Linked DNA regions of Tribolium castaneum. The main gene of each other region encodes a partner of the protein of the gene in region 3 in a complex. Links are inferred from orthologs where the notes say so. Each region holds a gene or a part of one and is shown on either strand. Other genes may lie near its edges. The genes, in order: transcriptional adapter 2-alpha, PolE4 and DNA polymerase epsilon subunit 3.

Region 1 (3,766 bases), on a different chromosome or scaffold from region 3:
TTTGTGATATTTCGCCAAAAAACATTACTTTGCAATTTCACGTGTTTTAGCATTTTTTTTTAAATTGTGTTTAAAAATGACATAAAAGCATAAACCAGGAGGAGATAACACAAAAGTCGATCGTTTTTCTTGGCCAAAAAATGAGGAGTTTTGTCAATCAATCAAAAAAAGATGTTACTCAAAAAAATCACAAAATTAAGTCAAAACTTTTGCTTTTGCAAGCCGAAGATTTTTAAAGACCAAAATTAATGCTATGTTGCAGCTTTTTGTGAGCCTTTATACATGTTTTAAGGTAAAAATTAAAGTGTTTAAAAATTCTCTAGCTAGAAATTCACAGAATTAAATCTAAATTGGGGTTATTTTAGTTTACTTTGCTCAATTAAGTTCCTTTTTTGAACGAGAAATTTAATTTAATTACTCTGCCTTTTTCGAAAGTTTAGCATTTCTTCAAAAAACGTAATCACCAAATTGTTATTATTATATTATATTTTTAATTATATTTAATATAATAAAATATAAATAATAATAACAATTATATATTATATAAATAAATAAAATAATTAAATATATATGTAATTATATTCTTAACTATCATATTTTAAAGCTCGTTTTTTTAAGGTAAAACGCAATTTTTACTGAAATTTTGCTAAACTTGCTTAAAAAATCTGCTCGAAGATGACAATATTTTACTATTTATGAGATTTATTACCACGTTCATCCATAAAAACACATTTATTTCGCAACATTTGCTCAAAAAGAAGCCAAAAAAATTGCGATTAGAACGAAATTAGCATTATATTTGCTTTTTCGAGTGTTGAAGCGCCGATTTGTTTGAAAAAAATGTTAATTCTGCATTTAGCGAGTGATATAACTTTTTTCGCGAGATTTTTTTAAACCAAAACGGTTCCATTGTAAATAGCTATTTGTGCAACGAGATAGAAAAAGTGAATTCTTTCTGGAAAAAACTTACGAGTTGAACACAATGTTTTGTAAAATTCCGTGAATATTGAAGAGTTTGAGAATTTTTCATCGAATTTTACAAGTGTTTTTTTTTCCAAAATACAAATTGTATTATTTTTCGTCACGCCACTAACTGTTGAAGTATGTTTTAACATTTTTCTTTGTTTTTATTAATCTTTAGTGAACATTTTTTTCTCCGTCGTGTTTTTTTGGAACTCAATAAGCCGCTATTATGGAAAATAACCAACTTTATATTAATTCAACCGTTTGATATGAACCTAAGAATTTGTATTTTGAGTTCGCCGCTGTGGTGTAACCCCTCCATCAACATTTCGAACTGGACAGGAGTACAAAATTGCATAAATCGGATCAGTTTTTCATACACAGGACGTGTAATCGTAACGTCATACCGATGAAGCCAAGCGTAAACTTTCCGCAGAATAATCAATCCGTGTTCTCTTATGATTTTTTTCCACCTTTGGCGCTCCCTCAACCGCCGGTTATAACTCTGAATGATCGCACATTGAAGATTTGTGATCAAGTCAAAATGAGGATCGTCCTTATCAACCGGTTTAAGGTTCGAGAGCAGATCCTCAGCCGACGAATCGAACTCGCATTCGAAATCGGACCTCGCGGGGTTATAACCGGCCAAAGACTTGTACCCCACTGTGTTGGGGGAGTAGCGAGGGGGCTCATCGGTGTCGCTAATCCGCTGTCTGTAGGGCACCACCGGCTCACAAAACCAGTCCCTTTTGCTCGCCTCGGGCAAGTCTTTGGACCCCTTTCTGTCTAAATAAAACCAATCGTAGTGCGCCCTAATCTCCCTCACACTCCGATTTGGGAACTCTTTCGCCACTAAATTCCAGTTCCCGTATTTTTGTAACGACTCTAACAACACCACCTCCTCCCGAGCCGTCCAGTCCGTGTTACCCCAAACCGGAAAATCGTCGCGGATTATGTGATAATCGTGATCGTTCTTGTGCCCCCCAAACTCCGCACCTTTCGAAAAACACAGCGAACAAATATTCACTTTACACAAAGCGCAATAAATGTAAGGCGCGACCAAATCGCACGAACAATTCGAACAAACACTATCAGAGTCACTAGAGTAAAACGCAGGGGGGCCACAGTCTGAAACCTCAGTTGAGAACGAGAAGTAAACAAGGGGGCTCACCTTTGGGAAACTGCAAGTCAGCGGCGTCTTCTTCGGTTAAGTCGGTGTTTGCGTTTGCCATTTTTTCGAAAACTGTTTGGATACCACAAAAACTTAGGTTATGTGCATAGGTTATGTGAGCGGCAAGCGCTGCCTACCTGGCAAAATTTAAAGCACTAGCACTTTACTAGTGCGGTGTTTTTTGACGATTATTTATGAAATTATTATGTAATTCGAACGCAATCGGCATAAAACGTGAAAAAAAAAATAATTGGGGAAAATTTGATTGTAGCCACGGGACCTCTAATTTGTTTTGTGTGAATTGTGTGATACCAACGGTGACTGTAAAAAGTCTCCAAACTGATTTTTGCCAAAACTGTCGTAATTTAATAAAACAGGCGATAAAAAATAGTAAAAATCGCTTTATTGGCGCTATGGTAGTTCACTTTACAAAAACTAATCAATTAAGTTAATTACATAATTATTTTTTAGGTTAGGTTACCAATGTCGCTATCAAGGGGGCCCCAAATCCTCTCCCTTGTGAACAAAACGCCCGTCTTTCTTAGACTTTTCGCAACGCAAATCGCCTCATTTGATGAAGTCAAGTCAGTAAAAACGACTCCTAAGACTCTTCTAATCGATGTCAGGGAGCCCCACGAATTGCAGGAAACCGGAGTTATTCCTGACAGCATCAATATTCCACTTGGCGAAGTCGAGAAAGTGTTAAAAGACATGCCTTCTGAACAATTTCAAAAAACTTACAAAAAGGCTAAACCTGATTCTAGCACCCCCTTAATTTTTTCGTGTCGTTCGGGGAAACGTAGTGCCCTTGCGTCCGAGATTGCGACGAAGTTGGGGTTCAAAGATATAAAGAATTATTCCGGGGGGTGGCTAGAGTGGGAGGAAAAAAGTAAAAATATTTGAGTTGTAAATAAATAATACGTTATATGAGTGTAGGGGTTGTAGTTTGATTTGGATTTAGGTAGTGCCGTATTTACTTATTTACTGCGGCACAAAAGTGATAAACATGGAATGTTAAAAAATAAGTCAAAAAGAGTTTGCAATCTACAAATCTCGTCAAAAATTTTTTGAATGATAACACCTTTTGAAAGGCCTGATCACCATAAGTCAAAAATACTCACAAAAGCAAAACCAAATAATAATTTTGCATGTGTTTTGCCCTGAAGTGGATATTAGATACGATTTCTTCATTTGTTGATGTTAGGAGCATCCAGCGCCAATGTGGACACAAACACTTATTGCAAAAAAACATCAGCGCCGTTTTGAAAACAACATTTACCTACTCCATGACCCCCTTCCGTACTTTTAATAACGTGGGACAGTTTCCTCGAACTTTTCGTCTTCTTTGTTGGATTTTTTAAATGTTAATTGTCAAATTGAAAAAGTGCGCGCGCATGCGCTTTGATTTTTAACATGTCATTCAAGAATTCACTGGTTGAATCTTTTTGATTAATATAAAAGCGTTTCAATTCAATATTTCTTATTTATTTCCTCTCATTGTCCCAATTTTTGTGCCCAACATTACCTAGGGGGGTAGAATTCAGAGAAAAACTGAAGATGTGAGATGCAACAAAAACAAAGACAGACTCATTAATCATCATTTTGTGAATTAACGTAGGGCACGTAGTGACT
Region 2 (1,939 bases), on a different chromosome or scaffold from region 3:
GTAGCTATTTTGAAAATAATTTAGTTGAACTCAGAATGGTCGATTTGGATTGTATACAAAATCTTAAAGCTCTAGCTATAAGAAGTTAAAAAGTTTCTAATTGTAGGTCCTAAAAGAATCAGCATGTTATATGGGATAATAAAAACGACATGGCAATATATCAATTAGCTAAAATGTTATGGACCGATTGGACACCCCTGGTTTACCCTGTATATGACTTTATTTGAAAACATATTTCACCGTTTTGTGAGATTTGTTCTAAATAAAGTGGAAACTTGTTAGAGTAAATCTGACGCAAATATGTTAATTCTATTACTCCTATTATTTTTCGAGAATTTTGCGAGTGTTCTTCAATTAGAAACTCACTAATCTAGAAATACATTGGCAAAAAAGAGAAAACATATGAACCTACGTCGAATATGTAAATTCAAATGATTTTTCCGAAGCTAATTGGAAAATCCTTAATTTAGTTAGGTTCTCTATTGTGAATTTAGAAACATTTTTCAGTGAAAATGAAAGGAATAATTTGCCGAAAAGACAAAAAACTTCCAAATTCGAAAAGAGATCTGCTATTTATTCTTTGTTTTTTTTTTAAACATAACTGCGAAGGCGCAAACACGAAAATAGGATAAGATTTACCAAAATTAACTGAAAATAATCTTAAAAGTATTTTATTCCAAGGCACCATCAAGGAAACAAAGACTAGGTATATTATCAATTGCGGCATCGACGTCTCGCTTCTGTACAGTTTTCCTTTTCCCCATCCCCATAAACTTGCCAGACTCTTTAGCAAGGTGCTCCAGAAACATCTCCTGAAATTTTAATTGAGTACCTAAGCTAACACTCAAATTTTTTTTGTTACCGTTGATTTGGTCACGAGAAATAGGGCATCTTGACTCACTAAATTACAGTCTGGGTCCATTTTCATAATGTGTTTAATTCTAGCTAGGGGTAGTTTCACTAATTTGGGTTTTTCGGGGGATGTTGTGGTTAATTCTACGAATTCTGGCGTTTCGGTAACGGGCTGCCTCTCAGTCTCAATCTCTTCTATATCCACTTCGTTGATATCTTCCATTTTATTTGTTAAAATTTTAAATAAATACCACTCAAGTTTCACAACATAACCTCAATCGCGCGCTATTCAAAGTCAGGTAAGGTGGTTACAAAACGAAATCCCCCAAATTATTTAAAAAAATTAGTAATAAAATACAATTTTGGCTTAGATTGTCTCACAGTTGTGTTATTTTTATGCGGTATATTGATAGGGATTGATAATTTTATTGATTAAGTTAATTTATTGCGGTTTGTATTCAATTTTGAATGATGTACCAAGTGGATTGGTATCCCTTCATTTGACAAAGTCTTAACCTCAAAATTATGGACGCTCTTACGTCAACGATCAAGTAAATAAAAGGTAATAACTTTGACCGCATCTATTTTAGTGTTTTGTTGGGTTTGTTGCAATAACTCTGCCCATAGATGGACGATGGTACCCCCAAGAGGGGCCGCGGCCGGGGTCGCGGTGGTCGAGGCAGAGGTCGGGGAAGAGGCCGAGGTCGCGGACGTGGTAAAAAGGCCATAAAAGTGATAGAAAGCGATGAAGAACTGGATAATTCCCAACTGCAAGAATCGTCCGAAGAGGCACAACAAACTGAAAGTGAATCTAACGAAAATGTGGCACCTAAAAGTAAATTTAATTGAATTAAAGTCAGCCTTGAATGACAATTGAATGTTATAGTTGATTTGGAAGCTGACATCTCCCAACTGGAAGCACCGACTTTTACAACAATTAACAGAGGGCCACCAGAACCAATGTTGCGGCTAGATTGGTCACATAAAGTGAATTTGATTGGCGAAAAAGTGCTCAATCCCATGATTCATTGCTGTGATAAGTGTTTGAAGCCGATTTTAATCTATGGACGAATGGTAAACTCTTTAT
Region 3 (2,215 bases):
TTGCCAACCTAAATTTCAAAGTCAGTGCCTACTTTGGCCCGATTTTTAACCAATTTGCAGGCAACGTTGCAAAAATCACAGAAAGCGACCTCAAAGAAGTGGGAATTGTGAATAAATCGGACCGGGTCCACATTTTAGACGCATTCCAAATGTACCGAAAGGAGCAAATACCGACCGATACGGCCCCCTCAGCTCCAGTGCTGCCAATCGAAGAGGCAAGTGCGCCACCACTCGAAAATGTCGCAAATTTGGGGACTGAATGCGTCATTTGTTTGGACTCAACTGTATGTTGTTTATCTCAAATTAAGGCGAATTTTGGTGTTTTTTTTTTGCAGTGTGAGGTGATTTTCGTGCCATGTGGACACTTCTGTTGCTGTTCCCAGTGTCCTGTGACCTTGAACGACTGTCCAATGTGCAGGACTTCAATCGAACGCAAAATTAGAATAATTTCATAGTTCGTTCAACTGCCGTCACTTTTTTTGCTCAGTGTTGCTAAAGTGTGAATTCTGCACGATTTGTGGCCTTAATCTAGTCAGTTGTTACTTTTTCTCATGAATAAAAAACTATCACAAAAAATTTATTTTTTATTACGATTCTCCCGTTTCTTCCTCTTCCACGGCCTCCTCGTCGTTGTCTTCCGCCATTTCAACGTCGGCCCCCTTCTTCACTTTCTTCTTCTGCTTCGCTTCTTTGAAATCTGAAGTCGGTTTTTGAAACGTGAACATAACCTCAAAAAAAAACTAACCTCTCAGCATCACACTTAAGGGCTCCACGAATTCGTCAAACTCGAGCTCTTCTAACGCTGTTAGAATGTCTTGACCCAGAAGAGTCTTTCTGTTCACTTTTTGCGCCTCTTTGGTGGCTTGTGAGGTTATGTACAGGACAAAAATTGAAGCGGCCCTTGACAGGGCCGAACGGGCGTCTTTACCAACACTGACGTGTTCAGGCAATGCGTCTTTAATTATCTTTTGCACCGTCATGTTCGGCAAATTCAAATCTTCCAGTTTTTCGGCCATTTGGTCACAAAATTCACAAAATTACTTTTCCCACCAAAAACAAAAAACGCGCATGCGCAATGCCAACCGCCATGTTTGAATTTTGATTAAAAAATCATTAATTTGTTTATTATTGGTCACCTAATAATTATAAATTTGTGTTTTTTGTTTAATTAAGCTTGGGGGGCTCGTGACGAATGGGGTGGTTTATTTTAGGGGCTGTTTTTTGCAGTTTTGGTGGGGGGCCTTGAACTATTCACCCTTGTTGGCCTTGGTTATTGAGGTTATGTTATAAACGGTTGACGTTTTGAAAATATGTGAAAAAGGTGAGTTAATTTTGCATTTTCTCACCTAAATTAACACAAATGTGGGTCAATTCGTGAATTGTACGTCAGTCTAATCAATTTCCAGTCGTAATTCGCTAAAAAAAGGGGGTTCAGAAATGTCCATAAGCCAAGTGGAAAATGTCAGCACTCGTGTAAAAAACACAAAAAAAGAGATCGAACAGCTCAAAACCGAGCTAGAGAAGCTCATAAGTCTTGGGACCCAGCCCCCTGAGCCCCCCACCCACAAGCCAGCCCCTGATACCCAAACCGTTAAAAAAAAGGCGCCCCCCGATCCCGAGAAAAAGCCCCGCAGTTATGACGTCACCGAGGCGCGTAACTACATCAAAAAACAGCGGGAAAAACGCGCCGAACAATTGCGGGCCCAAATCAACACCACTGACAATAAACTCGATCTGAAAAAGCAAAAACTGAAAGAATTACACCAGAAAACACTCGAGCTGGTGACAAAAAACGTGCAGTTGAAGCGCGAACGCTCGAAATCGCGGGACAAGGGCGAGCCCCCTGTCCGGATCGACCGCTCGAAGGCGCGGGAGAAAGGGGGCCCCCTTGTCCGAACCAACCGCCCGAAGTCACAGGACAAGGGGGGCCCCCCGAAAATCGACCGCTCGAAGTCGCCCGCACAAAAAGTTTCTGAGGGCTCCGAAAAGACGCAAAAAAGCGAGAGAATTTCGAGGGCCAAGGCCCGGGAGCCCCAGAAATTGGCGAAAACGTCGTCTGAGGCGAAAGAGACGCAAACGTGCGACAAGGGGGCGCCCTGGCTGGAGCCCCCTTGTGCGGCGTATCCGTACAATTTTATAAACACAGTTAAGAGAAAATTGCAGTTTGCTGTGAATTCGCCCCGGAATTTTATCGACATTGGGGTGCAGAATTCCG

Evidence for each region.
Region 1: DNA polymerase epsilon subunit 3 (region 3) and transcriptional adapter 2-alpha share a complex: the UniProt entries of both Drosophila melanogaster proteins name them as parts of the ada2a-containing (ATAC) complex. The link is inferred for Tribolium castaneum from reciprocal best matches to the Drosophila melanogaster genes Chrac-14 and Ada2a.
Region 2: DNA polymerase epsilon subunit 3 (region 3) and PolE4 share a complex: the UniProt entries of both Drosophila melanogaster proteins name them as parts of the DNA polymerase epsilon complex. The link is inferred for Tribolium castaneum from reciprocal best matches to the Drosophila melanogaster genes Chrac-14 and PolE4.

The regions. Positions count from the first base shown.
Region 1 is NC_087398.1:11,845,046-11,848,811, forward strand, and holds the start of transcriptional adapter 2-alpha, read right to left. Parts: upstream 2,277-3,766; 5' UTR 2,196-2,276; coding exon 2,135-2,195; intron 2,092-2,134; coding exon 1,239-2,091; intron 1-1,238. Other genes in the region: rhodanese domain-containing protein CG4456, read left to right, coding at 2,548-2,550, 2,606-3,037. UniProt on the Drosophila melanogaster protein: Component of the histone acetyltransferase (HAT) complex ATAC; predominantly involved in acetylation of histone H4, including at Lys-6 (H4K5ac) and Lys-13 (H4K12ac).
Region 2 is NC_087395.1:5,462,397-5,464,335, reverse strand, and holds PolE4 (DNA polymerase epsilon subunit 4), read right to left. Parts: upstream 1,184-1,939; 5' UTR 1,076-1,183; coding exon 863-1,075; intron 813-862; coding exon 672-812; 3' UTR 656-671; downstream 1-655. Other genes in the region: E3 ubiquitin-protein ligase Hakai, read left to right, coding at 1,480-1,687, 1,739-1,926. UniProt on the Drosophila melanogaster protein: Accessory component of the DNA polymerase epsilon complex. Participates in DNA repair and in chromosomal DNA replication. Has a role in cell cycle progression. Required for wing morphogenesis.
Region 3 is NC_087394.1:1,508,910-1,511,124, forward strand, and holds DNA polymerase epsilon subunit 3, read right to left. Parts: upstream 1,089-2,215; 5' UTR 1,017-1,088; coding exon 746-1,016; intron 698-745; coding exon 588-697; 3' UTR 572-587; downstream 1-571. Other genes in the region: E3 ubiquitin-protein ligase LRSAM1, read left to right, coding at 61-284, 336-455; centrosome-associated protein 350-like, read left to right, coding at 1,438-2,215. UniProt on the Drosophila melanogaster protein: Accessory component of the DNA polymerase epsilon complex. Participates in DNA repair and in chromosomal DNA replication. Histone-like protein which promotes nucleosome sliding of ATP-dependent nucleosome remodeling complexes.